Linked DNA regions of Oryctolagus cuniculus. The protein of the gene in region 1 binds, or shares a complex with, the protein of each later gene. Links are inferred from orthologs where the notes say so. Each region holds a gene or a part of one and is shown in the gene's direction. Other genes may lie near its edges. The genes, in order: VAMP2, SNAP25, NAPA, CPLX1 and STX8.

Region 1 (4,701 bases):
CACGCCTGGACCAATGTGTGGTGTCTTGCCTGGCCCCGCTCTCGGTTCCCTGGCTAAGGCAGGCTGTGGGGGGCTCTGCCCCTTTGTACCAACCTCCTTCCAACCAGCTGAGGCATTTGAACTTTAAAGCCTGGTATTTGGCTTTGTTCTCTGACCACAAAGCCAGAGCCAGCACCCCACAGCCTGATCTGAGACACTCCACCACCCCCCACCCCCCACCCAGGAAAGCTGCTCTTTTCCCGGTTGGTCATCACACAGGCTGAGCTAGCCCAGGTGCGCCACAGCCGTGCACAAGGACCAGGGATGTGGCTGCTCCTCCGAGGGCCACCAGAGAGCCAAGAGCAGCTTAGGTTGGGCTGAGTTCCGCCCCTCCCCCACCAACTCACCTCCCCCAGACAGCTGGGAAATGACACCTCTGGTGACAGAGCCGGTCCCCAGGCTTCTGCCGGGAGGGGGTGGGGTGCGGCAGTGGAGGAGGATCTCACACCGCAGGCCCTGGGAAGCCGGCGTGGGGGAGGGAAGAAGCTGGCTCCTGTTTGTCTCACAGATCAAGGCCACCAGTCTCCGTCCCCCACTTCCAGGAATGTTTGAGCGCCCCCACCCCACAGCCATCGCCCCCCCCCCCCAAATGCTTCCTCTATCCTGGAAGCTTGCCTTGATCCTGCCCACTCCAGAGGCACAGCTCACCCGTGCCCATTTTCTCCTGCAAGCTGGCTGGGACTACGTGCAGGATTTAGGTGGAGACCAGTGATCGATGGCCTAGGAGGGGGACCATCTCCTACAAGCTATCCCACTGCTGCCGTACATATTTAGTCCTAGATGTGTAATGTGTCGGAGATCCAGAGAGAGAAAAGGAGCTGCCCGGGGGACACATCCAGGAGGCTAGCCCACGTGTAAAGCAGCACCACATAGCAGTGCCACCCTTGCCTGCTGTCCTCCTTCCTCCCAAGGTAAAAAGCCCCCGGCCTGCGGCCAGGTTCAAAGCCAAAGCCCTCGCCTGTCCCGCAGCAGCTGACTCCAGTCTGGGGCACAGCTGGGTCTGTGGCCGGCCTAGACGTGACGATGTCCCCCCCCGGGGGGGTGAGTGCGGGGGGCAGCATGCGCCCTCCCCCTGGGTCTGCTCCAGCTTTGCCTGCCCCTGCTCTGAACTTGGCAGTTTCATAGCCTGCAGCCCCTCGGGGATTTGGTTGGAGGCGGGGCCTGGGGAGGGGAAGGGTCCTCCTCCTCCTCCTCCTGCTCCGCAGGGGCCCCAAACCTCCCTTCAGCCATCCACCTGCCAGGTGACAGGTGGTCTCAGCGCGCATCACCCCGCTCCTCCACTCTGGCAGGAGCGTTCCCGCTCTCCGCTGGGCCCTTCTGATTTCCCCACGCCCAGCCCATTGCGAGTGCCGAAGCTGGGGGGTCACCAGGCATTGCAACCTGGCCAGGGCGAGACCTCGGGCCACGGGGCTGCGGACTGGTTTATCGGAGTCACGGGAGAGGGAGGAGGTGGCCTAGGGTGAGGTGCGGGGCTCCGCGGCGGAAGGCCGGGTAGCAGGGGGCTGCGAGCCTCCAGGACGCGGCGGCGCGGGGGTTTGGGGAAAGCCGCAGCAGTCAGCCAGGGGTGGCGCGGAGGGCGCGCGAGGTGCGGGGAGGGCGCGCGAGGCGCGCCGCGGCGGCCCCGCCCGGCTCGACCCCCGCCCCGCCGGGCCCCGCCCCGCCCCCGCGGCCGCGCTCGCGACGTGTCGCCTGCGAGCCCCGCCCCCGCCCGCAGTGCCCGGGTGCGGGTGACGTGCGGCCGCCATCTTCCCGTCCCGGGCAGCCAGCGCCAGTCGGAGCCAGCGCGAGCCGCCGCCGCTGCCGCCGCCGCCGCCATCACTGCCGCTGCCAAGTCCTCCACCCGCTGCCCCCGCCATGTGAGTCGGCCGGCCGCCCGCCGTCCGTACCGCGCTTCCCCGCCTCGGCCGCCGCCCTGGGAGTGGACCGCGCGGGGAGGGCCCGGGGTCCCGCCCGCGCCCCCGGTGCTCTCGGGGCCAGCCTGGCGCCCGTGACTGCGCGGCGGGCCGGGGAGAGCCCCCGCGGCCCCCGGGCTGGCCGGCGCGGGCGATGGCCGCGCGGGAGGGTGCGGACCCAGCGTCTGCCTTGCCCCGCCCCGGCCCTGTCACCGCGGACGCCTGTCATCCGGTGTCGACCCCAGACCGCGTCCGTGAGGTCGCTCTCATTTGGCAGGCGGGGAAACTGAGGCCCGGAGGGGGGAGGGGGCCTCGCTCAAGGTCACTCAGCTCAGCGGCGATGGGGCTGGACGGAGACCAGGGCTCCCATCGGGCGGCCTTCCTCCCGAAAAGGAGGACTGGAGGGACGACGGATGGACAGGTGGATGGGCGGAGCCCTGGCCGCGGGGCCGGAGTCTCTGGACCCTGGGCCTTAATCTGCGCCTGCTCCTCAGGTCTGCTACCGCTGCCACCGCCCCCCCTGCCGCCCCGGCCGGGGAGGGCGGCCCCCCTGCGCCCCCTCCCAATCTCACCAGTAACAGGAGACTGCAGCAGACCCAGGCCCAGGTGGATGAGGTGAGTGTGAGCCGGGTGGGAGGCCGCAGGCCAGAGCCTGCAGGTGGGCACGCAGGTGTGGGGCCCATCGCGGGTTGGGGGTGATGACAGTTCACAGCTGTGGGTGTGGGGACAAAGACATGCCGAGCCTCCTCCCTGCCTTCGCGTCAGCACACATTTGGAAGGGCGCTGGGGTGTCAAGCAGCCTTGCTAGCCTGCGGTGTGCCAGCCTGGGCAGGTTTGCCCTGGTGACTGACAGGCTCTCTGAGGGTCGCTCTGACATCTGAATGTGTGGCTGCCAGCATGCCCCTGATGTGTGCTCCTTGCATGTCCCCAGGTATGCTAGGCATGTTCTCTGTGTGTCCTTGGCATGTTAACTTGGCGGTATCTGGGTGCATGTTCTGTGTATGGCACCCTGGGCACACGGTCAAGGAGTGCCCTCGTTTCGGCGGGCCTTGGCACACCCCCTGCCTCCTGGGCCCCTCCCCCAGGTGGTGGACATCATGAGGGTGAATGTGGACAAAGTCCTGGAGCGGGACCAGAAGCTGTCTGAGCTGGACGACCGCGCCGATGCACTCCAGGCGGGGGCCTCCCAGTTTGAAACTAGTGCAGCCAAGCTCAAGCGCAAATACTGGTGGAAAAACCTCAAGGTGAGGGCGGGGGCGGGAGAACTGGGGGGTGAATGGAAGGATGGGGGCTTGTCTCACTGACCCTCCCCTCCCGCCCCCAGATGATGATCATCTTGGGAGTGATTTGCGCCATCATCCTCATCATCATCATCGGTGAGTGGGGCGGGAGTGGCCGGGGCCCCTTCTCTGGAGAGGCTCCCCCCGGTGGGTGCAGTCTGGGATGTGAAGGTCACTAACCTAGTCTTCACTCTGGCAAACGCCACATAGCTGCTTAGGGAGCTGTGGGTCCTAGAGCCAGAAAGCCTGTGCAGCCTGCCGGGTGCCTGACTGTTGGCAACGGGAAAGCCGGTGGATCTCCCACTACTTCACTGAGCATCCTTTGGGCTTGAGAGCCCAGTTTGGGAACTGGAACTGGGGAGTGGGAGGCGGAAATGGAGACATGGCCAGGAAGCCAGTCCTGCCGCTGTCTGAGAGCTGGTGAATTGGGTGGGGGTGTGGCTCCAAAGCCATCCCGTGGAGGCACCCATCTGGCCAGCCCCTTGCTTCACAGATGGAGAGACTGAGGCCTCGAGCTGGGGGAAGGGGCAGCAGCCAGCCAGCTAGGGGGTGGGGAGGACCGCAGCAGGGCCGGGCCTGACACCCAGCTCTCTCTCTCTCCCTCCCTCCCCCCTCCCTCTTCCTCTTCCTCTTCCCTCTCTCCACAGTTTACTTCAGCACTTAAATCCCCGAGGAGTCTGCCCTGCCTAGAGAAGGGCCTCTCCCCCACCCCCAGCCGTTCCTCCACCTCTCAGCCATATCTCTCAGCCCCTCCCCGGATCCGTGTGTGTGTGTGTGTGTCTGTGTGTGTGCCCCCTGTAAATAGCCAGCTGTTATTTATACATATATAATATTATATATATTTGGTCTGTTTGTAGTTTTATTACTAGAAGATTTTTCCGGTTGTCCTTAACACCCCTTCCTGAGGTGTCCCCGTCCTCGCCTCTCTCTGTCCCTGTCCCCCCCTTTCCCTCCTGACCAGTCCCAAGTCCCCTCATTTGCATCTGCTATGCAACAGCCCCTCTCCTTCCCCCATCCAGCTGATCCTTCCTTGCCTTCCCCCTCCTCCCCCTCTGCACTCCTCCCACAACAGACAAAAGCACCTGGCCAGGCCTCCCTACATGCACCTTCTTTGCATCCATTGGGAGGCCCTGAGACTGGCCCCACTTGGTCCTGAGAATCCCAAGATCTTCTGGGAGCTTCCAGCGTGTTAATTAGCAGATCATTTGCACACCAACATCCCTTTGGTTTCCTTGTTTTTTGTTCCATCACTCTTCTTTGAACCAATTTCTTTCTTACTGGAAAGTTAGTCCCCAGTAGTCCTTGTGTCACTCTTATTTGCACGACATTACTTACAGGCGGTGGAGAGCCTGGGCTTTTTGGGGAACTGCCCACTCCCAGGCCCTCTAGTCGTTTGCCGCCCCTACCCCCATTTCCCAAACCTCTTGTGCCCTTCCCTCCCTCCCCTCAGCTGGCGTGGAAGTGTCTTGGAGTTCAATGTGTTATGATGG
Region 2 (4,579 bases), on another chromosome or scaffold:
GTGTGTGTGTGTCCGTACTTGTCTGTATATTGTTTTTCCGGAGCCAGTTCTAAATGGTTTTCTCTACGTCTGAAGGAGACAAGGATCTTCCATAGCCCAAAAGAGGCCATCAAGTTTTAACACTGCGAGGCACGACTTCTAATTGCATCCTCCCCAGAAAAGTACAAACAGTTCCTCAGACGAGGTCCCCCACCTCCTACGCGCCCAGCAGCCTGCCCTCCCCGCAGAGAGCCCCGCGACAGCCTCCCCAACACCTGTGAATCATCCGAGAGGCTCCAAGGCAGAGCTATTTGCACGCCACCCCCATCACCGCCACCACTGCCTCCCTGGGCGCCTCCTGCACGACAACAGGGTGGGGTGGGGGTAGCTAGGATTATTGCTTTTTTATTATTATTTCTAATTTCTCATATGACTTGCACAAGACACCTTCCTCACTCTTGCCCTGATTTGAACATCAGAGAGCCCCGAGCCAGCCTGTCGTGGTGCCCAGGCTTTGCTCACTGAGCGAAGCACCAGCGTTTTATCGCGTCCTAACCATGCTTGAACGCAAACCCGCCACCTTCTCCCTGGATGTCTGGACCGATCTAGGAGGCGCCTACGTGCCTGTGCGGACTTTTCCTAAAATACCCAACGCAAAACCCCAGGCTCAGACTGCAAATTCCGCTGAAAACAGCGTCATCAATGTTACCCTGGCCAACAGCTCTCAACTCCTAGCCTGGAGTCCTAGCAACCCCCTGCTGGTTTGGTTAACGACCCTTCCGGACTCAGCGGATACTCTCCGTGGTAATAGCTCTGACGTACTTTAAAATAAAGTGTGTGAGTCTCTCTTCCCAACTGACCACATGAATGCAAACTCCTAGCCCTCGTTGCAGCTCGGATAAAATGAAGAAATCACTCATAAAAAATAGCAACCCACGTAGCCTAGCCATATATGGAGCTGGGGAGGGTTGACAGGGATGTCCCTTCGGACCCTTTTCTGGTGGTTAGGGGCACAAACCGTAGCTGAAATTTCCCCCTCCCTCACCGTTCCCACCACCGCCTCTGCCTTCCTCTCTTCGCGTGTGACTCAATTCAGCTGGAGTAAATTATGTATATGTGATCTATAGATGTACGTATATTAACATTCATAGGCACACACAACAAAGGACATCAGGGAGCCAGTGGCAAGGTAAATGTGTTTGCCCAAGACCGGGTGTTAAAATGGAGTCCTAAAACCTCTCTGTTCGGGTGTTTATAGAACGCTAAAATGCAAAGATTTGTAGTGAAGCGCACACGGAGCTGAGTCAAGCTCTGGGCACCTCGAGACTCGTCCCCTCCCTTCACGCGCCTCCGCCCCCCTCGCTCCTCCCCGGCCACCACGCGCCCCCTCCCTCATTCGACCCTCCCTGCTCTCCATTCCCCCCACTCACCCCGCCCCTCGCCAGAATACTTCCTCCCCGCCCCTCCCGAGCCGGCTATTAAAAGCTGCTGACGTCAAAGGGACGGCCATCTTTGATGAGGGCAGAGCTCACGTTGCATTGAAGACGAAACCTCGCCGAGGTCAGGCGCTGTCTTTCCTTCCCTCCCTGCTTGGCGGCTCCTCCACGCTTGCAACCTGCAGGGGCCCCGGCGAACACCACCCTCTGGAGAAGCCAAGGTAAGGGGACCCTCCCCAGCTCGAGGTTCTGGCTCTAGATGTCTGTGTACCCCAAAGGGACCCCACAGCTGGGCAGAGCAAGTGAGCTTGGGCAAATGCAAGTGTTTGTACACTTAGGGTGCGGTATTCCGGGTATGCACGTCTGGCTAGACTCCCTTCTGGGGCTTTATAAAGTATTTTCGAGGTGAGCTGCTTGGGGAAGGGATGAATGGAGATAGTGCAGGTGGAGCGATGAGGAGGAAGAACAAGGATACATACCGAATAAGTTACTCCTCTGCAACAGTCGTGGGACTCTGTCTCTTCCATTTTGCGATGCAGTTTTCGGAGATGTTTAGCAGGCTAGGGGGTAGGGAGTAGGGGTTTGTTTTTCTTTCTGTGGACCAAAAAAAAAAAAAAAAAAAAAAAACGAATCAAAACAAAAAGCCATCATGTTGTTCTAATTCTCTTGGGAAGAATTAAGGAGGAGGCAAGGTGTGGGGCGCTGGGGAGGCCAAAGGAGAAAGAACGAGTTCTCGCCCCGGGCAAGCGGAGCTGTGGCAGCGGCAGCAGCCTCCATGCCCCGCGGACTTGATTTATGCCGCCTGCTCCACGTCAACTGCAGGCTGGCGGGAGGCGGGCGGGTCGTGCCGAGTGGGAGGGCTCTGCGGAGGGCTGGCGCGGTGGGCTCGCCCCGGGGACTGCGGCGGCCGGTGCTCAGCACCCTGGAGAGCAGTACCGGGGGCCCGTGCTGGCGCCGGCGACCTTTCAGCACCACAGACAGCAGTCCGGCCGCAGAGCGGCATCTACCTGCGGCAGACGCCTGGCGGGGACTGGATGTGCCAGGGTTGGAGGTCAAATCGTCTCTCTGAGACCCTGATCTTACAGGGACCATTAATAGAGCAGGCATAGTAGGTTCAAAGAGAAAAGGGAAGAAAAAATAAATCCTGTCCACAAAGACTTAAGACAATTGCCTGCTCTCCTGTTCACCTCCTGCATACCATCAAAAAAAAAAAAAAAAGTCTGCTGGTGGAAACCCTCTGTGTTGCCCTCTGCCCCTCTTCGGTAGGAAATAAACACTTTTAAAAATAATATGTGTTAAGTCTCTAGCAAGATATATACATTTTTGTTTGTTTTTGTTTTTAACAGAGTAAATCAATCTACAGATCTTGGGTGGGCATGAGTGGGGTATATATGAAGATGGCAAAACTGTTTATAGAAGTGATATCTTTCTAAATATTTATATTTTATGAACATTTAGGATTAACTGAATTAATAAGAATCAACATTACCACGAGCACACATTCACAAAAATACATCTTCGAGGACTATTACAGTCCTATAGTGTGTATTATTTAACATCTCTTGCTGTGAATTCAGAGTTAGTAGAAGTATTTCCTGTAGTTGTTGGTTATTAATGGTCAGTAGTTTCTTTTTTGTTTTGATAACATTAAGACTGGTCTACCACAGGACAATCCAACTGTGTCCTTCAGGACACGGCAGATGAGAGATCCAGGGTGTTAGAATGAAACCGGGTTCCAACCTAAAGATCTACTGCAATTTCTATTATAGCACTGCAGGATTTTGCTGAGGTGATGATAAATACTTTGGCCATTTTCTACTCTGAGGTTTGGAGCCTCTGAGTGAGCAAAAATCATCACAGCAATATTTCTCTTTGATTTAGACAGATCAAATTGTCATGAAATGGCTGGGATCAAAACTGTACTATTTAAGTAGCTGGCAAAAAGAATAACTGTCATATGTAAGAATATGTACAGCATATTAAAAAATGCTACCATGATCCCTTTAAAAGACTCAAAATAAGATCTTGGATTGTGTTTAATTAGGCATAACTCCAATCATCTGTATACTAAAGATTCTAAAACATCTTGTTCACATACAGAAGGTTTTTCCATCTCAAGCTATCTATTTATTACATAGTGTTTTTCCTTTTTATGGTTAACCATGCATTTATATATATGTGTGTGTGTGTATTGTATATAATATATATATATTTGTTCTGTATGGATGTAAAAATTATTTGGGTGGACATTTATTCATCAGTCTATACCTGCATGAAAGAAGTTTATAACTCTAAAATCTTCAGGCAAAATAAACAACTTGTTTCAGTTATGGGAGGAAGGGAGTTATGGACAGGAATCATTAAAAATGTTTTTATCTTCATGCTGCATATCCAGACAGCTCTCTGCGTAGTTGCGTCAAAAGAAAAGCCTAATGCAGCTGGAATTACGTGCTTGGACATTGGTAATTACTGCTGAGTTTGTTTGCTAGTGGAAGACTGGGGATAGGAGGAAGAGGTAGAGGACTGCAGTGAAGCTGCGAAGGGCACAGGACTGGGAGGGAGAAGCAAAATGCGGGATGATAGGGCTAATTCTGAACGAGCTTACTGACAAATTAAAGAAAAACATCACTGATTCATGAATTTAACATGTACATTGTTGACACACTTCATAAAAAGGAATCTAAGATGTGTTATTTTAAGAATTTTAAAAATCCAGGGCAGTGCAGTGAGAAGAGGTATGAGCAGATAGACAAAAGGATGAACCAGGTATCATTCATGCAGCCCCTCTGATGGTACCTGGAATTTTCTGTTACTATTTTGGCATTCAGATAACAAAACAACTTACAGTCTTCTGAGCTGTTCTATGGTAAAATCTCTGAAAAATGAAACCTTTTATTTTCACTCTGTTAGACATGCACAATCACACATATGCAAACACAACATAAACTGTCCCTTAGTTAGCTTGTCTAAAGATATTCCTGAGCTCTAAATGATAGCCCTCAGTGTCAGGGTTATCAACTGGAAGATTGATGTTTGTTCCAGTCCCACCTGGAAGCTGCGTAACAGCAGGCCTTCAGCAGAACCTGTAGGTCTTGAGCATTAAATGGGAGAAATAATTCAAGAAAGATATTGAGAGAGGAGACTAGAAAGAAGAAAAATAAATG
Region 3 (4,887 bases), on another chromosome or scaffold:
TTCAGCAGCTGCTGCGGTCCGTGTGAGGCCCTGCCCGCTCACGCGGCGGGAAGCTCGTGGACGTCCATTTGGGGAGGGGAAGCAGCAGCAACAAACAGGTGAACATGGTGACTGTGGGCCCTGATGCTGGGCGCACCGCTGGCCGTGGCTGACGCCCGGGTCAGCTGGGTCAGGCGGTCCAGTGACTGCGTGAATCAGGGACCCGTGGCGGCCAGCGTCAGTACCTGGCCCCCTCGCGCTGAAGTCCAGACCGGCACGTGGGCAGCTCCCCTGGTGGCTCTGGCCGGGACAGTAGTCTGTGGCACCTCCAGGCTGATCCCTGGCAGTGGGACAGGGGATGACGCGGTTGTGCCGGGGCACTCGGGGTTTATCCCCACCCTAGGTGAGCTCTGGACACCTCCCTGAAGGGCCTCCAGGTGCACTGGTTGCCTATTGCTTTACATCCGACAGCCTAAAACACATGACAGCTTGGTACCGGTGCTGCTTGGACAGGCACGGGACCGAAATTGCCTGTGGCGATCCAGACAGACGTCCGCCGAGGCTGTGGTCCGCACACAGCGGCCGCCACAAGCAGCGGCTCGGGAAAGCGCTTCCTGGAAGAGAGCTGGGCGAGAGGTCGGCCTGCCGTGCCCTGGTCAGTCAACCCCAGCCCCGCACAGCACTGCGCGTGCACACGCCGGTCCCATGCTGGGCGGGGCTCTGGAAAGAAATGGACTCCTGTGCCTCGCAGGCTCAGAATGGGGATCGCGACAGGGCGGGCCCTGCAACCTGACTCTGTAAAGCAGCTTTTCAGAATAGGTTCCCAAAACTCCAGACCCCACAGCTTCCCCACGCTTGCCATTAGGCTGGTACCTCTGATGCAGTGAACAAGCCGATCTGGGCACCGTGTGGCCGGCCAGCGTCTGTGCCCTGACTTCTTGAGGTCAATCCGACGCCACCCTGCACTGAGCAGCCGTGGCCCCCTCGGCTCTTACTAGGGAAGGGGAGCAGTACTAAAAATCAAGATCAAGACACCAGGCAATGCTGGAACCGCCGGCAGGCAGACAGCTTGACTTGCGGCCAGCGGCCAGGTCGAGCTCCCTGCCGGACGGCTGGCCGGGGAAGCCGCCAGGACGGAGGGCCCACGGCGAGAGGGGCCCCCCGCGGCGCCAGCAGCGCCCCACGCTCTGCGCGGCCCCGCGGCTCAGACTGGCGAGTCCGGCCCCTGGGAAACAAGCTCCGGGGGCGACGCCTCTCGTTCTCTGCCCCGTCCCTGCGTCCCCCTCTCGCCTGAATCTCGCACGCGCGGCTGCAGGCGCTCCCATCTGTCAAGCACTGCACGGGCCTCCCGCGCCAGTTTCAGCATCGGCCGGCAGAGGGCGCAAGAGAAAGCAGAACGCTCCCCTTTTTTCCCACTGAGGCCTTTTCGAGTGAAAGGAACCACGCGAGACAAGGCTTAGAGGCGGGACTAAAACACCGAGCAAGAGAACTGTCAAACCCAGGCGTGCGCCGGAAGTTGTCACGTGACAGCCGCCGCTCCAGCTGACCCGTGCCCAACTTCCGCAAGGTGGGGCGGACCCGAGCAGAGAGCGGCTGCTGATTGGTGGAAAGGCAAATACTGCGGCAGCACTTTGGGGGTGGGTCCCTGACGGTGAGGGCTACGATTGGCTAGTGCGGCGTCACGAGGTGGTGGGTGCGGAGCATCCGGAAGAGAGGCGCAAAACAGGTGGCTACGCATGCGTCGAGAGTCACGGGGCGGTGCGCGGCGGCCTGCCGGGGCGTGGCCAGCGGGGAGCGCGCCGCGCTACGAGGTCCCTGATTGGCCAGTGCCAGTCACCTGGTGCCCGGCCTCGGGCGGCGCGCGCCGGTGCGACGTCAACGCAGCCAGCTAAGCTCCCGGGACCTGTGTACCGCGGCCCGGCCGGGCCTGAGTCCTCCCAGGGCCCGGGTCGGGCGGTTCGCTGAGTTCGCTCTGCGGCCGCCATGGATAACTCGGGGAAGGAAGCGGAGGCGATGGCGCTGCTCGCCGAGGCGGAGCGCAAAGTGAAGAACTCGCAGTCCTTCTTCTCAGGCCTGTTCGGGTAGGAACCAGGCCGAAAGGTCGGCCGGGACCTGGGCTGGGGGCCGCAGGGGTCACGGCCTGGGGTGGCGGGGGAGGCGCGGTGCGGGGGCCGGTTTCCAGGGAGAGGGCCGAAGGGGCTTGGGCTGGGGACCCACGGGCCCGGGCGACCACCTCTTGAGGCGGGGAAGGGGATCCAGGCTGAAGACGGGCTCAGAGGCCAGCGGAGACCTGGGCGAAGGGGATACGGGCAGTGGCCTTGGCGGGGACCAGCCGCGGGGGCCAGGTTCCAAAGCCTTCTCAAGCCCTCGGGGGATCTGTTTGAGGGGTCGCGCCGGGGCCTGGGGCTGGGGCCACCTGCCCAAGGGGCTGACCTTCCCGAGCCCAGGCAGGGGGCTGCTGCGTAGCCCTTCGGTAAGGACAGGGCTCGCACAGGGCCTGAGGGCTTGGGGACAGGACTAGCGGCTGCCATGCGGCAGGCGCCCACGGAAGTTGGCGGCAGCTCAGGGCCGGCCGCACTGAGGGGCTTTGGGGTGCGGCTGCCGCTCAGCCCGCGACCTGGGTGAGTTTTAATCTCCCCGACGAAGGGGTAGCCAGTGAGAGCTGTCTCCTCCCCGTCGATAGCCGGGCGGCGTTGGGCTGGCGGATGGCGAGCGCTCCGAAGTGGTGGCTGGCAGTGTTGGGAGTGCCCTGCAAGGAAAGAGGTGTGCGGTGATGGGGGCTGGTAGAGAGCCAGGCGGGAGCCGGGGAGCGGCTCAGGAGCCGAAAGGGGCAGGGAAGGCCTGCGGACCGCGGGGCTTAGCGGGGTCAGGGCACGGGCCGGGGAGGGGTAGCGGAGGTCAGCGGGAAGCTTGGGGGGTCAGGGCACGGGGCCGGGGAGGGGTGGCGGAGGTCAGCGGGAAACTTGGGGGGGTCAGGGCACGGGGCCGGGGAGGGGTGGCAGAGGTCAGCGGGAAGCTTGGGGGGTCAGGGCACGGGGAGGGGTAGCGGAGGTCAGTGGGAAGCTTGGGGGGTCAGGGCACGGGGCCGGGGAGGGGTAGCGGAGGTCAGCTGGAAGCTTGGGGGGTCAGAGCCGGGGAGGGGTAGCGGAGGTCAGCGGGAAGCTTGGGGGGTCAGGGCACGGGGCTGGGGAGGGGTGGCGGAGGTCAGCGGGAAGCTTGGGGGGTCAGGGCACGGGGCCGGGGAGGGGTAGCGGAGGTCAGCTGGAACCTTGGGGGGTCAGGGCCCAGGAGGGGTAGCGGAGGTCAGCTGGAAGCTTGGGGGGTCAGGGCCGGGGAGGGGTAGCGGAGGTCAGCTGGAAGCTTGGGGGGTCAGAGCCGGGGAGGGGTAGCGGAGGTCAGTTGGAAGCTTGGGGGTCAGGGCCGGGGAGGGGTAGCGGAGGTCAGCTGGAACCTTGGGGGATCAGGGCCGGGGAGGGGTAGCAGAGGTCAGCTGGAACCTTGGGGGGTCAGGGCCAGGGAGGGGTAGCAGAGGTCAGGGCACGGGGGCCGGGGAGGGGTAGTGGAGGTCAGCGGGAAGCCGCTGAGGCCGAGCTTAGGACGGGGAATGGGACTGGGGTTTGCTGCAAGCCGGGGAAGGGGGTCTGGGAGGCGGGGGGGGGAGGGTCTTTCCAGGAGACTGAGCCTGCCCTTGCTGCTGGAGGTGGGATAACAGCAAAGGAAAACGTCCGGGTCCTCATGGGTTTTGTTGTAGACTGAGTGGAGACCGTGTGTGTGCGCATGCGTGTGTGTAATTCAAGTGCGCTGTTCTGAGGGTGGCTGGTGGTGTCTGGTGCCCTTGGCCCAGGGTTAGGGCCCCGCTGGGCTGCACCGGGGGGGGGGCGGGCAGCTAAGCCAGCCTGGGACAGGCTGCTGGGTTGGGATGGGGAGCGCGACACTTGGCGTGGACTAGTGAGGCTGGGTTGTTGGTTGTAAGGTGGGCTGGGTGATGTCCTTCAAAGCCTGCAGGACTCGGGCGGACGGCGCCTGGCATGAGTGCTGTGAGCAAAGGCCTCACCTGGTGACAGGGACGGCCAGGGGTGGTCTCCCTCGGGCGTGATGGGCCATCGGGGGAGCCGTGTGCTGCGGAGCTGTGAGGCGCGGCCTGTGAAGGTTTAGTGCAGGGGGTTGGGGCTGGGCCAAGGTGAGGCCACGAGCGAGCGAGGGCCTGGACTTGAGCCGAGCCCGAGAGGAGAGTGCTGGGTCTGAGCAGCGACTGGGGACGCTGCCGCCCGTGCTTCCTGACGCCGGGCCTGGCGCTTCCGTCCTCGCCAAAGCCCCGTGGATAGCGGAGGCCTAGAGACATCGCCGTAGGTGCTGGAGCAGCATGCGCTGCCCGGCCTGGCGCTCACTCTGCCCTGCCGTGCCGCAGCGGCTGCTCCAGGGCCAGGGCCAGGGCCGAGCCCCCAGAGCTCTGCAGTGGGGAGGGCGCGGCACACCAGGTCTCGGGGAGCTGCCGCCCTCTAGCCCCTCCCCCCCAGTCTTCCACGGGAGAAAGGAAGCAGCTTTGGGGCCTGCGCTGCCCCGACGCTGGCACCCCGCATCGGGGCGCTGGTTTGAGTTCCGGCAGCTCCTCTCTGATCCAGCTCTCTGCCAGTGTGCCCGGGAAGGCAGCAGATGCCCAGGTGCTGGAGACCCGGTGGAGGGCCTGGTTCCTGGCTCCGGACTGGCACAACCCCAGATCTCTATGTCTCTGTCTCTCTTTGTCCACTCCACCCTCCTCCTCTCTGTCACTCTGCCTTTCAAGTAGATAAATCTTTAAAAAATAGAAAACAACCGGTGCCGCGGCTCACTAGGCTAATCCTTCGCTTTGTGGCGCCAGCACCCCGGGTTCTAGTCCCGGTTGGGGCGCCGGATTCTGTCCCGGTTGCC
Region 4 (4,104 bases), on another chromosome or scaffold:
CTCTGGCACCCCACTCCAGCGTTTGGAAGGTTCCGGAGGCCGTTCCTGCAGCACTGGGGGTGGGAGGAAGCACGGGGGGTGCTTGTGGCTCCCTGGTCCCTCTGACAGTGTGGGTGGCGGGGCTGCTGGCCTCCCCGCTCCTCCTCTCCTAAAGGTGGGGTTTCCCTCCCCGGAGCTCAAGTGGGGCCGCCGAAGTCCCTGCAGGACACCCACAGAGCTTAGCGCACAGTCGGTGCTCAATAAACGCAGCCGCCTCGACTGGAACCAGAGCCTGTGGCGGGGGGGGCAGGCCTTGGGGTGCAGCCCACCCCCGCGCTGCGCAGGAGAGAGGAAAGCGGGCGAGGAGAGAGACAGGACTCACAGCCGCTCTCGCTGAGTGTGAACCAGCGCAGAGCAGTCAGGCTGTGTGGTTTGTCCTGGCCTCCTCTGCCCCTGCCAGAGACCACAGCTCGGCAGGCAGAGGCCCGGGCACGAGTGGGAACCGTTGGGAGGGGGAGTGGACTCGGCTTCTTCTCTGACCCAGTTTCCCGCCAACCCGTGCCCTAAAATCCGCTTTGCAGAATTTTGCAGAAGCAGCTGAAAACTGACTGCAGGCTCTTGGTTCTCTGATGCGTCCGGATCTGTGCCATCGGCAAGTTCCTGACACAGGCTGGCTCCAGGTCCCCGCAGTGACGAGGGCGACAAGATGGCCAGAGAAGTAGGAAGGCCCTCGTGGCGCGGAATGGCTCGGCCTCAGGCGTCCAGTTTTCAGTCCAGAACACTCCACCAGAACCTTGTTCTCATCCCGCCAGCAGGGGGCGGCACACGCGCTGCCCTCGGAGGCTGGAGAGGGCCCTCGGTGTCTGCCGCTGGGACCAGGGCAGGGCCTCTGGATCCAGAGCAGGGAGAGGCACCTCTGCACACGGGTGGAGGCGCGGGGCGCTAGGCGCCCGCACTCAGCGGGTGGTTCCCCTGAGGCATGACTCAGGTAGCCGGGGTGGTGCTCAGGAGGTCCTGCCCCAGGGGAGCGAGAGCACACACGCAAGGGGAGGCTGGGTCCAGAGAGGCCGTGGGTGTCACTGGTCCCGCCTGCGGGAGGCAGGGGGCAGCCTGTGCCTGCCGTCTGCATACACCACAGGTGGGAGTGGCACTCTGCTCCTGCAGATTGAGGGCCACGGTGGGACGTGGCTGTGACTGGCAGGGGCAACGGGGTGCCTAGCCAGGCCCTGACGCCCCGTGGCCCTGCAGGGTGTGGTGAGCTACCTCCTGGGCAGCACCGCTGACTCAGTGCAGGGGCTGCTGTGCCTGTTCCGTGGGTGAACCACAGACAGCATGGGGGGAGGGGGAGGGGCGTGGGTCAGGGGCTCGTGAGCAAACACAGCAGAGGGATCGGGGCCTTGGTGCCGGAGCCTGACCGACCGCTGACTGCTGGCATCCGACCTGGCGCCCTGCCTGCTCCTGTCCAGCCTGCAGATCTGGCGAGTCCTGCCGGCCCTGCTGAGGGTTGACCCTCGACTAGGCACAGGCCCAGAGATGACACAGACCATACACGGAGCCCCGTGTCCAGCCACCCCTGCACAGAGTCCCACCCGCAACCCCGCCGCCCTCAAACCGCGGGTCCTGCGCGAGCTCGCTCCCCACTCAGCTGCCTGACTGCTTGCCCTCCCGCCCCCAGGGGCCACCAAGGACATGGGGAAGATGCTTGGGGGTGACGAGGAGAAGGACCCCGATGCTGCCAAGAAGGAGGAGGAGCGGCAGGAGGCGCTGAGGCAGGAGGAGGAGGAACGCAAGGCCAAGTACGCCAAGATGGAGGCCGAGCGAGAGGCCATGCGCCAGGGCATCCGCGACAAGGTGGGCACAGGACGGGACATGCCCCAGGCAGATGCTGGCCTGGTTCTGGGCGCGGCAGGGGCCGCATGGGGTCTCTCTCTGTGGACACCTATGCACGGAACAGGTGCCGGGACATGGTCCCATGGGGGCAGCTGTCACATCTGGGCCGGGGCTCCCTGTGAGGCCGGTCTGTCCTGGGGGAGGCCCTGTGGATGGGGTGGGGGCTGCTTTTGGGGCCAGGGATCTTCGGAGCCTGGGTTTGAGGTCAGACCTCTCTAGGGAGGGAGCTCCCTGCCTTCCTGGATTCACAAAGTTGGGGGCTGGAACCGGCAAGGCGGGCAGGGTGGGCATGGTGAGGGGGTGGGTGTCCAGCTGACAGTGGCCCCTGTTCTAGTCATCTGAGTGACCTCCTGGGAGTTGTGGCCAGAGTGGGCACCTGGATGTGGGCCTGGGTCCCTGCTGAGAGCCGAGTCTAGCATAGCCACATGCAGCTACCTGTTCAGCTGGGGGAGGAGGCTCCAGAGAGCCTGGGGGTGGGGTAGGGAGCAGTCAGCCCCTGTTGGGGTGCAGGAAACAGCAGTGGGAATGGGGCCTCCAGTGCTGGGGCTCAGGACCGAGAGGCTGTTGGGGGGGCCTGTGCCTTCCCTCACTCCTCCAGTGCCCTGGGACTGTGCAGGGGGAAGGCTCAGACCCAGGGCCCCTCCTTGCCTCATCCGACCCCTGAGAGGACAAAGCAGCCTCTCCTGGCTCCGTTGGGAGCTGGGCTTCTGAGGTGGACAGGGGCACAGGCAGGCACGGCACTTATGTGTCCAGGACGCAGCCTCCTCCAGACTTGGTGTCACCTCCTGCCTCTGGGTTCTTGCCCCTGCCACCAGCCCCACAGGCTGTGATTTCCAGGGGTCCATGTGCTGGCCGGGCGCCCTCTCTGGTCATCTCCGTGGGCTATTGTCCTGGGGACTGGCGGGCACCTGGCCCGGGTGTCTGTAGCGCAAGAGCCTCAGTGCCCGTCCAGGTAGGGCAGCCTGGACACTTAGTGGAGTGACTGGCCCTTCAGGCAAGCTCAGAGTGACCACGCAGTCCTGGTGGGGCCTGGGGCCTCCCTGGGCCCCGAGGGGAGGACCCGACTTCCTCCACGCTGTGTGCTCCCAAGTCCCTCTGCCGTGTGTGCCCCACACCGGTAAACAGGCGCCATGCTGCAGGAGCCCGCCTGCCCGTGCCCCGGCTGGGGGACGTGCTCTCTGGCCTGACCTAGTTTCCCTCTCCCAGCCCACACATGCTCCTGCCCCCCTTCTGTGCCCAGGGCTGCTGCCCTTACAGAGTGAGGCAGGCCGCTGGGGAGGCCCAGTGTGCCTGGTTCCCTCGCCTGGCTGACCGGTCAGTGAGGTGTGGGCGCCGGGTGTTCTGGCCTGGCGACCGTGGCACTCCCAGCTGTGCCGAGGGAAGAGGGGCTGAGGAAGCTCAGGCTGCTGGGGGTGGGGACCATGGCATCCTCTGCTCAGATTCCAGCTGGACATGGCCCTTGCAGCCCCAGGTCCGAGGCTACCCACAGCTGTAGGGGAGGGCACAAGGACACAGACAGCCCCCATCTGGGAGGGGGCCTCCTTGAGACCCAGGCACTTTGTGGGCAGGGTGAGGGGGCACTAAGGCAGAAATGGCCAGGGCCTCCCCCTGGGCGGAAAGCCCCCTTCCCGAGGCAGGTGACCCAGCATGGGTGTGTGACCTGGTCCTGCCCAGCACTGCCCCCGCTGGTGCCCACCTCATCGCCCCCTTGGAGCTGGAGGTCAGCCCTGGCTCAGGGGAGACCCTGAGCCCCCAGCCTGGGTGGACCCCACTCCTGCCCTGTGCCCGCCACTTGTTTGGTGGTTCGTGGCCTCACCAAGACTGCAGTGTCCACGCTGTTCTGGGGTGTTGGCAGGGGTGTATTGTCACTGAGGCCACCCCGGGTTTATCACAAAACCTCGAGAGAAAAGAAGGACCCACGAGTGGCCTTCCTGCCTGGCGCAGCTGCTGGGACCTCAGGCCGCTACCCCACGTGTCAGGTGTGCCCGTCTTCCATCTTCAGTGGCCTCGCCTCTGTGTGCCTTTCCTGCTGCTCATAAAGACCCTTCCTGGAGTTGGGGTCCCCTTAGATCCAGGATGACCTTGACCAAGGTCCTGTTTGCAAATACACCCCAGATGACGTGGATTTTGGGGTGACACGATCCAGCCTACCACAAAGGGGAGACAGGACATACACAGGGGGTGGGAAAGCCGGATGGGGAGCAGAGAGTGACCAGATGTCGGCTGAGGCCCCAC
Region 5 (4,104 bases), about 1.2 Mb from region 1:
AGGTGGCTATTGGTGGGTGCTGTGCTGTTGGCCGTTCACAGCGTCTGGGAAGCCGTGTGCAGTGCTGAGGGGGGTGATCTTCAGTTCCTCCCGCCTGCCTGGTGGACCTGGGATTCACGTGTGAAAGGTTAAACAGATGGAGTAGACAATGACGGATGTGATCAGGGCTGGAAGGATGCTGAGTAATGGGGAGAGATGTGGGTGGGTATAAAACCTAGGGCTGTGTCTGTACAGAGCGAATGCTTGGTGTTGCTCCTACTGCTGCTGTAACATCGTTGCCCTTTTTTTTTTCTTTTAATGGCATCAGACTCAGGATTTAGGATTTACCTAGGTTTTTTTTTTTTTTTTTTTTTTTTTTTTTTTTTTTTTTTTTTTTTTTTTAAGATTTATTTATTTTTCTTGAAAGTCCGAGTTACACAGAGAGAGAAGGAGAAGCAGAGAGAAAGGTCTTCCATCCAATGGTTCACTCCCCAATTGGCTGCAATGCCTGGAGCCGTGCTGATCCGAAGCCAGGAGCCAGGAGCTTCTTCTGGATCTCCCATGTTGGCTGCAGGGGCCCAAGGACTTGGGCCATCTTCTACTGCTATCCCAGGCCATAGCAGAGAGCTGGATCAGAAGTGGAGCAACCAGGACTCGAACTGGCACCCATATGGGATGCCGGCACTGTAGGTGGCGGCTTCACCCGCTACACCACAGCACTGGCCCCTTACTTACCTAGGTTTTTGAAACCTGTAGTTCTACTTTTTCTTTAATTTTCTTTCTTTCTTTCTTTCTTTCTTTCTTTCTTTCTTTCTTTCTTTCTTTCTTTCTTTCTTTTTTTTTTTTTTTTTTTGACAGGCAGAGTTGTTAGAGTCAGAGTCAGAGTTACAGTCAGAGTTACAGTTAGAGTGAGAAAGGTCTTCCTTCCGTTGGTTCACCCCCCAAATGGCCGCCACGGCCAGCACGGTGCACAGATCTGAAGCCAGGAGCCAAGTGCTTCCTCCTGGCCTCCCACGCGGGTGCAAGTGCCCAAGCACTTGGGCCATCCTCCACTGCACTCCCAGGCCACAGCAGAGAGCTGGACTGGAAGAGGAGCAACCGGGACTAGAACCTGGCGCCCATATGGGATGCCGGCGCCGCAGGTGGAGGATTAACCAAGTGAGCCACGGCACCGGCCCAAGATTTATTTATTTATTTGAAAGAATTACACAGAGAAGGAGAGGCAGAGAGAGAGGTCTTCCATCTGCCTGTTCACTCCTGAGTTGGCCACAACAGCTGGAGCTGTACCGATCCAAAGCCAGGAGCTTCTTCTGGGTCTCCCATGCTGGTGGAGGGGCCCAAGGACCTGGGCCATCTTCTACTGCTTTCCTAGGCCATAGCAGAGAGCTGGACGGGAAGTGGAGCAGCCAGGACTTGAACTGGCACCCGTATGGGATGCTGGCACTGCAGGTGGCGGTCTTACCCACTACGCCACAGTGCCAATCCCAACAGATATTTCTACCTTTGGTGTATGAAAAAAATTTGTCTTAAATATGAAAGTGACACACTACCTACTGCACTAACGAGGCACCTACTTTGTCTTAAATAAAAAGGCCATTTAAGAACTCCTTTCCTAATAATGTCTGTGTGGTTATGCCTCTGGTACCTCTTGGAGGATTAGTGTGAGTGTTAGGTTCTCCCATCATCTCTCTGGCAAGCTGTAATTCCTTGGACCAGACTTGTACCTTGTTCATTCCTGTATCTCTCAACAGCACTGGAACACAGTTCCTGGCATAAACCAAGGATGCCGTAAATCGTGGTCAGGTTGAATTTTCAGAGCATGTGAGGCTGGGCCTCTCTGCACCTGTGGGAGCGGTTTGCAGCTGAGCTGTGTTTTCTGCCATATGTAATGCGTTTGACATTGTTCTCAGGTCCAGTCTGATGAGTGAAGAAGCTAAGCGAGGAGCGCCCAACCCTTGGCTCTTGGAGGAGCCAGAGGAGACCAGAGGCTTGGGTTTTGATGAGATTCGGCAACAGCAGCAAAAAATCATCCAAGGTACTGAACACCCCAAAGAGTGTGGGTTTAGAAGTAACCTTGCCAGCTTTTTGCAATAGCCTTGAATGTCCCTTAACCCCCACTGCAAATCGGAACGAAACTGTTGGCCTAATTTTTAGGCTCTTGGGATCTTCGTGCCTCAGAATACCTGAGGAATAGACGCCGGCCGTCACCCACCCCGCAGCTCAGGGAAGCAGGGGATCTGTCTTCGGACCTGAGCTGGTCTCATGCTGACGAGTCTGGGTGACTTTGATGTGTGTACCTATAGGTTTTTTTTTCCGAACGCAAGACTCCATCTTTTTCTTCTATAAAATAAGTCAGTTTGGTTTTTACCTTCAAGTTCATCTTGCTCAGTAGCTTGTCAGCCTAATTGTTTCTTTTTCAACCTCTTCTGCTGTTCAAACTTGAGAAGCAGTGCATGATTGCCATACATAGTTCAAGCCATCTAGGGCTAGGAGAGATGGCAAACCATTGCTTCTCCAGTCTCAGCCTGGGTTCAGTGGGGCCAGGCATGTTTCCTCAGATGTGGATCCATGGTGTGCATGTATTCAGTGTAACACGTGAGAAACACAGGTACCTCCTGATAGGTGTGTCATCCACACCTTTTTTTTTTTTTTTAAGATTTATTTATTTGAAAGGCAGATTTAGAGGCAGAGGCAGAGAGAGCGAGAGCGAGCTTCCATCCACTGGTTTACTCCCCAGATGGCTGTGATAGCCAGAGCAGGGCCGATACAAAGCTAGGATCCAGGAGATTATTCTGGGTTTCCCACATGGGTACAGGGGCCCAAGGACTTTGGGCCATCTTCTCCTGCTTTCCCAGACCTTAGAGAGCTGGATTGGAAGTGGAGCAGGGAGGACTTGAACTAGCACCCATATGGGATGCCGGCACTGCAGGTGGTGGCTTTGCCCGCTATGCCACAGCACTGGCCCTCTTCCACAGCTTTTAAAAAATGTAATGTGTGGCCGGCGCCGCGGCTCACTAGGCTAATCCTCCACCTTGCGGCGCCGGCACACCGGGTTCTAGTCTCGGTCGGGGCACCGGATTCTGTCCCGGTTGCCCCTCTTCCAATCCAGCTCTCTGCTATGGCCAGGGAGTGCAGTGGAGGATGGCCCAAGTGCTTGGGCCCTGCACCCCATGGGAGACCAGGAGAAGCACCTGGCTCCTGCCATCGGATCAGTGCGGTGCGCCGGCTGCAGTGCACCGGCTGCGGCAGCCACTGGAGGGTGAACCAATGGCAAAAGGAAGACCTTTCTCTCTCTCTCTCTCTCTCTCTCTCTCTCTCTCTCACTCTCTCACTGTCCACTCTGCCTGTCAAAAAAAAAAAAAATGTGTCAGACATTTTTCATGTCAGTATATACAGGTATGACCTTTGTAATTCTACTTTTTTTTTTTTTTTTTTTTTTTTGACAGGCAGAGTGGACAGTGAGAGAGACAGAGAAAGGTCTTCCATTTGCCATTGGTTCACCCTCCAATGGCCGCCGCGGCCGGCGCGCTGCGGCCGGCGCACCGCGCTGATCCGATGGCAGGAGCCAGGAGCCAGGTGTTTTTCCTGGTCTCCCATGGGGTGCAGGGCCCAAGCGCTTGGGCCATCCTCCACTGCACTCCCTGGCCACAGCAGAGAGCTGGCCTGGAAGAGGGGCAACCGGGACAGAATCCGGCGCCCCAACTGGGACTAGAACCCGGTGTGCCGGCGCCGCTAGGCGGAGGATTAGCCTAGTGAGCCGCGGCGCTGGCCTTGTAATTCTACTTTTTAAAAATAGCTTTATTGAGATCGAGTTGATGCTATCATAACTAGCACACATTTGAAGTGTATGATTTGGTAAGCATCGACACATATCTACAAACCTGCAAAACCCTCGATACAATCAGAACAAACATATTCGTCACTCCCAAAGACATCCTCCATGTCATTTTGTAATTCTTCTTGCTGCTTCTCTCATTCCTAGACAACTACTGTTCTGCTTTCTGTCACTCTAAATTAGTGTCTCTTTTCTGTAATTTTATATAAAGAGTCCTCCAGGCGCTCCCCCCGGGGGAGGAGGAGGTCTGGTTTGTTTCTCTAAGTGTATTAAGGTTCATGTACGTGTTT

Evidence for each region.
Region 2: the proteins of VAMP2 (region 1) and SNAP25 are in contact, whole or in part, in a crystal structure (PDB 1SFC), measured with the Rattus norvegicus proteins. The link is inferred for Oryctolagus cuniculus from reciprocal best matches to the Homo sapiens genes VAMP2 and SNAP25. Residues at the interface, in NP_036795.1 of Rattus norvegicus: Asn25, Thr27, Ser28, Asn29, Arg30, Arg31, Leu32, Thr35, Gln38, Val39, Glu41, Val42, Ile45, Met46, Asn49, Lys52, Val53, Glu55, Arg56, Lys59, Leu60, Glu62, Leu63, Arg66, Ala69, Leu70, Gly73, Ala74, Gln76, Phe77; in NP_112253.1 of Rattus norvegicus: Gly131, Gly132, Phe133, Ile134, Arg135, Arg136, Asn139, Leu150, Glu151, Ser154, Ile157, Gly158, Leu160, Arg161, Ala164, Leu165, Met167, Gly168, Ile171, Asp172, Gln174, Asn175, Ile178, Asp179, Ile181, Met182, Ala185, Asp186, Asn188, Lys189.
Region 3: the proteins of VAMP2 (region 1) and NAPA are in contact, whole or in part, in a cryo-EM structure (PDB 3J97), measured with the Rattus norvegicus proteins. The link is inferred for Oryctolagus cuniculus from reciprocal best matches to the Homo sapiens genes VAMP2 and NAPA. Residues at the interface, in NP_036795.1 of Rattus norvegicus: Gln36, Ala37, Asp40, Glu41, Val43, Arg47, Val50, Asp51, Leu54, Glu55, Gln58, Lys59, Arg66; in NP_542152.1 of Rattus norvegicus: Arg116, Thr118, Lys122, Ser157, Ser159, Ser160, Lys163, Leu197, Tyr200, Ser201, Lys203, Arg239, Ser268, Ile269, Arg271.
Region 4: the proteins of VAMP2 (region 1) and CPLX1 are in contact, whole or in part, in a crystal structure (PDB 1KIL), measured with the Rattus norvegicus proteins. The link is inferred for Oryctolagus cuniculus from reciprocal best matches to the Homo sapiens genes VAMP2 and CPLX1. Residues at the interface, in NP_036795.1 of Rattus norvegicus: Arg47, Val50, Asp51, Leu54, Asp57, Gln58, Ser61, Asp64, Asp65, Asp68, Ala69, Gln76; in NP_074055.1 of Rattus norvegicus: Leu41, Arg48, Tyr52, Glu56, Arg59, Glu60, Met62, Arg63, Ile66, Arg67, Tyr70, Gly71, Ile72.
Region 5: VAMP2 (region 1) and STX8 share a complex: the UniProt entries of both Homo sapiens proteins name them as parts of the SNARE core complex. The link is inferred for Oryctolagus cuniculus from reciprocal best matches to the Homo sapiens genes VAMP2 and STX8.

What each region holds. Positions count from the first base shown.
Region 1 is NC_091448.1:52,651,920-52,656,620, reverse strand, and holds the start of VAMP2 (vesicle-associated membrane protein 2), read left to right. Parts: upstream 1-1,735; 5' UTR 1,736-1,893; coding exon 1,894-1,895; intron 1,896-2,425; coding exon 2,426-2,546; intron 2,547-3,016; coding exon 3,017-3,175; intron 3,176-3,255; coding exon 3,256-3,307; intron 3,308-3,858; coding exon 3,859-3,875; 3' UTR 3,876-4,701. UniProt on the Homo sapiens protein: Involved in the targeting and/or fusion of transport vesicles to their target membrane. Major SNARE protein of synaptic vesicles which mediates fusion of synaptic vesicles to release neurotransmitters.
Region 2 is NC_091442.1:35,149,167-35,153,745, forward strand, and holds the start of SNAP25 (synaptosomal-associated protein 25), read left to right. Parts: upstream 1-1,478; 5' UTR 1,479-1,636; intron 1,637-1,894; exon of another isoform or gene 1,895-2,217; intron 2,218-4,579.
Region 3 is NC_091449.1:10,127,058-10,131,944, forward strand, and holds the start of NAPA (alpha-soluble NSF attachment protein), read left to right. Parts: upstream 1-1,764; 5' UTR 1,765-1,962; coding exon 1,963-2,060; intron 2,061-4,887. UniProt on the Homo sapiens protein: Required for vesicular transport between the endoplasmic reticulum and the Golgi apparatus. Together with GNA12 promotes CDH5 localization to plasma membrane.
Region 4 is NC_091433.1:185,317-189,420, reverse strand, and holds part of CPLX1 (complexin-1), read left to right. Parts: intron 1-1,654; coding exon 1,655-1,830; intron 1,831-4,104. UniProt on the Homo sapiens protein: Positively regulates a late step in exocytosis of various cytoplasmic vesicles, such as synaptic vesicles and other secretory vesicles.
Region 5 is NC_091448.1:53,825,430-53,829,533, reverse strand, and holds part of STX8 (syntaxin-8), read left to right. Parts: intron 1-1,889; coding exon 1,890-2,014; intron 2,015-4,104. UniProt on the Homo sapiens protein: Vesicle trafficking protein that functions in the early secretory pathway, possibly by mediating retrograde transport from cis-Golgi membranes to the ER.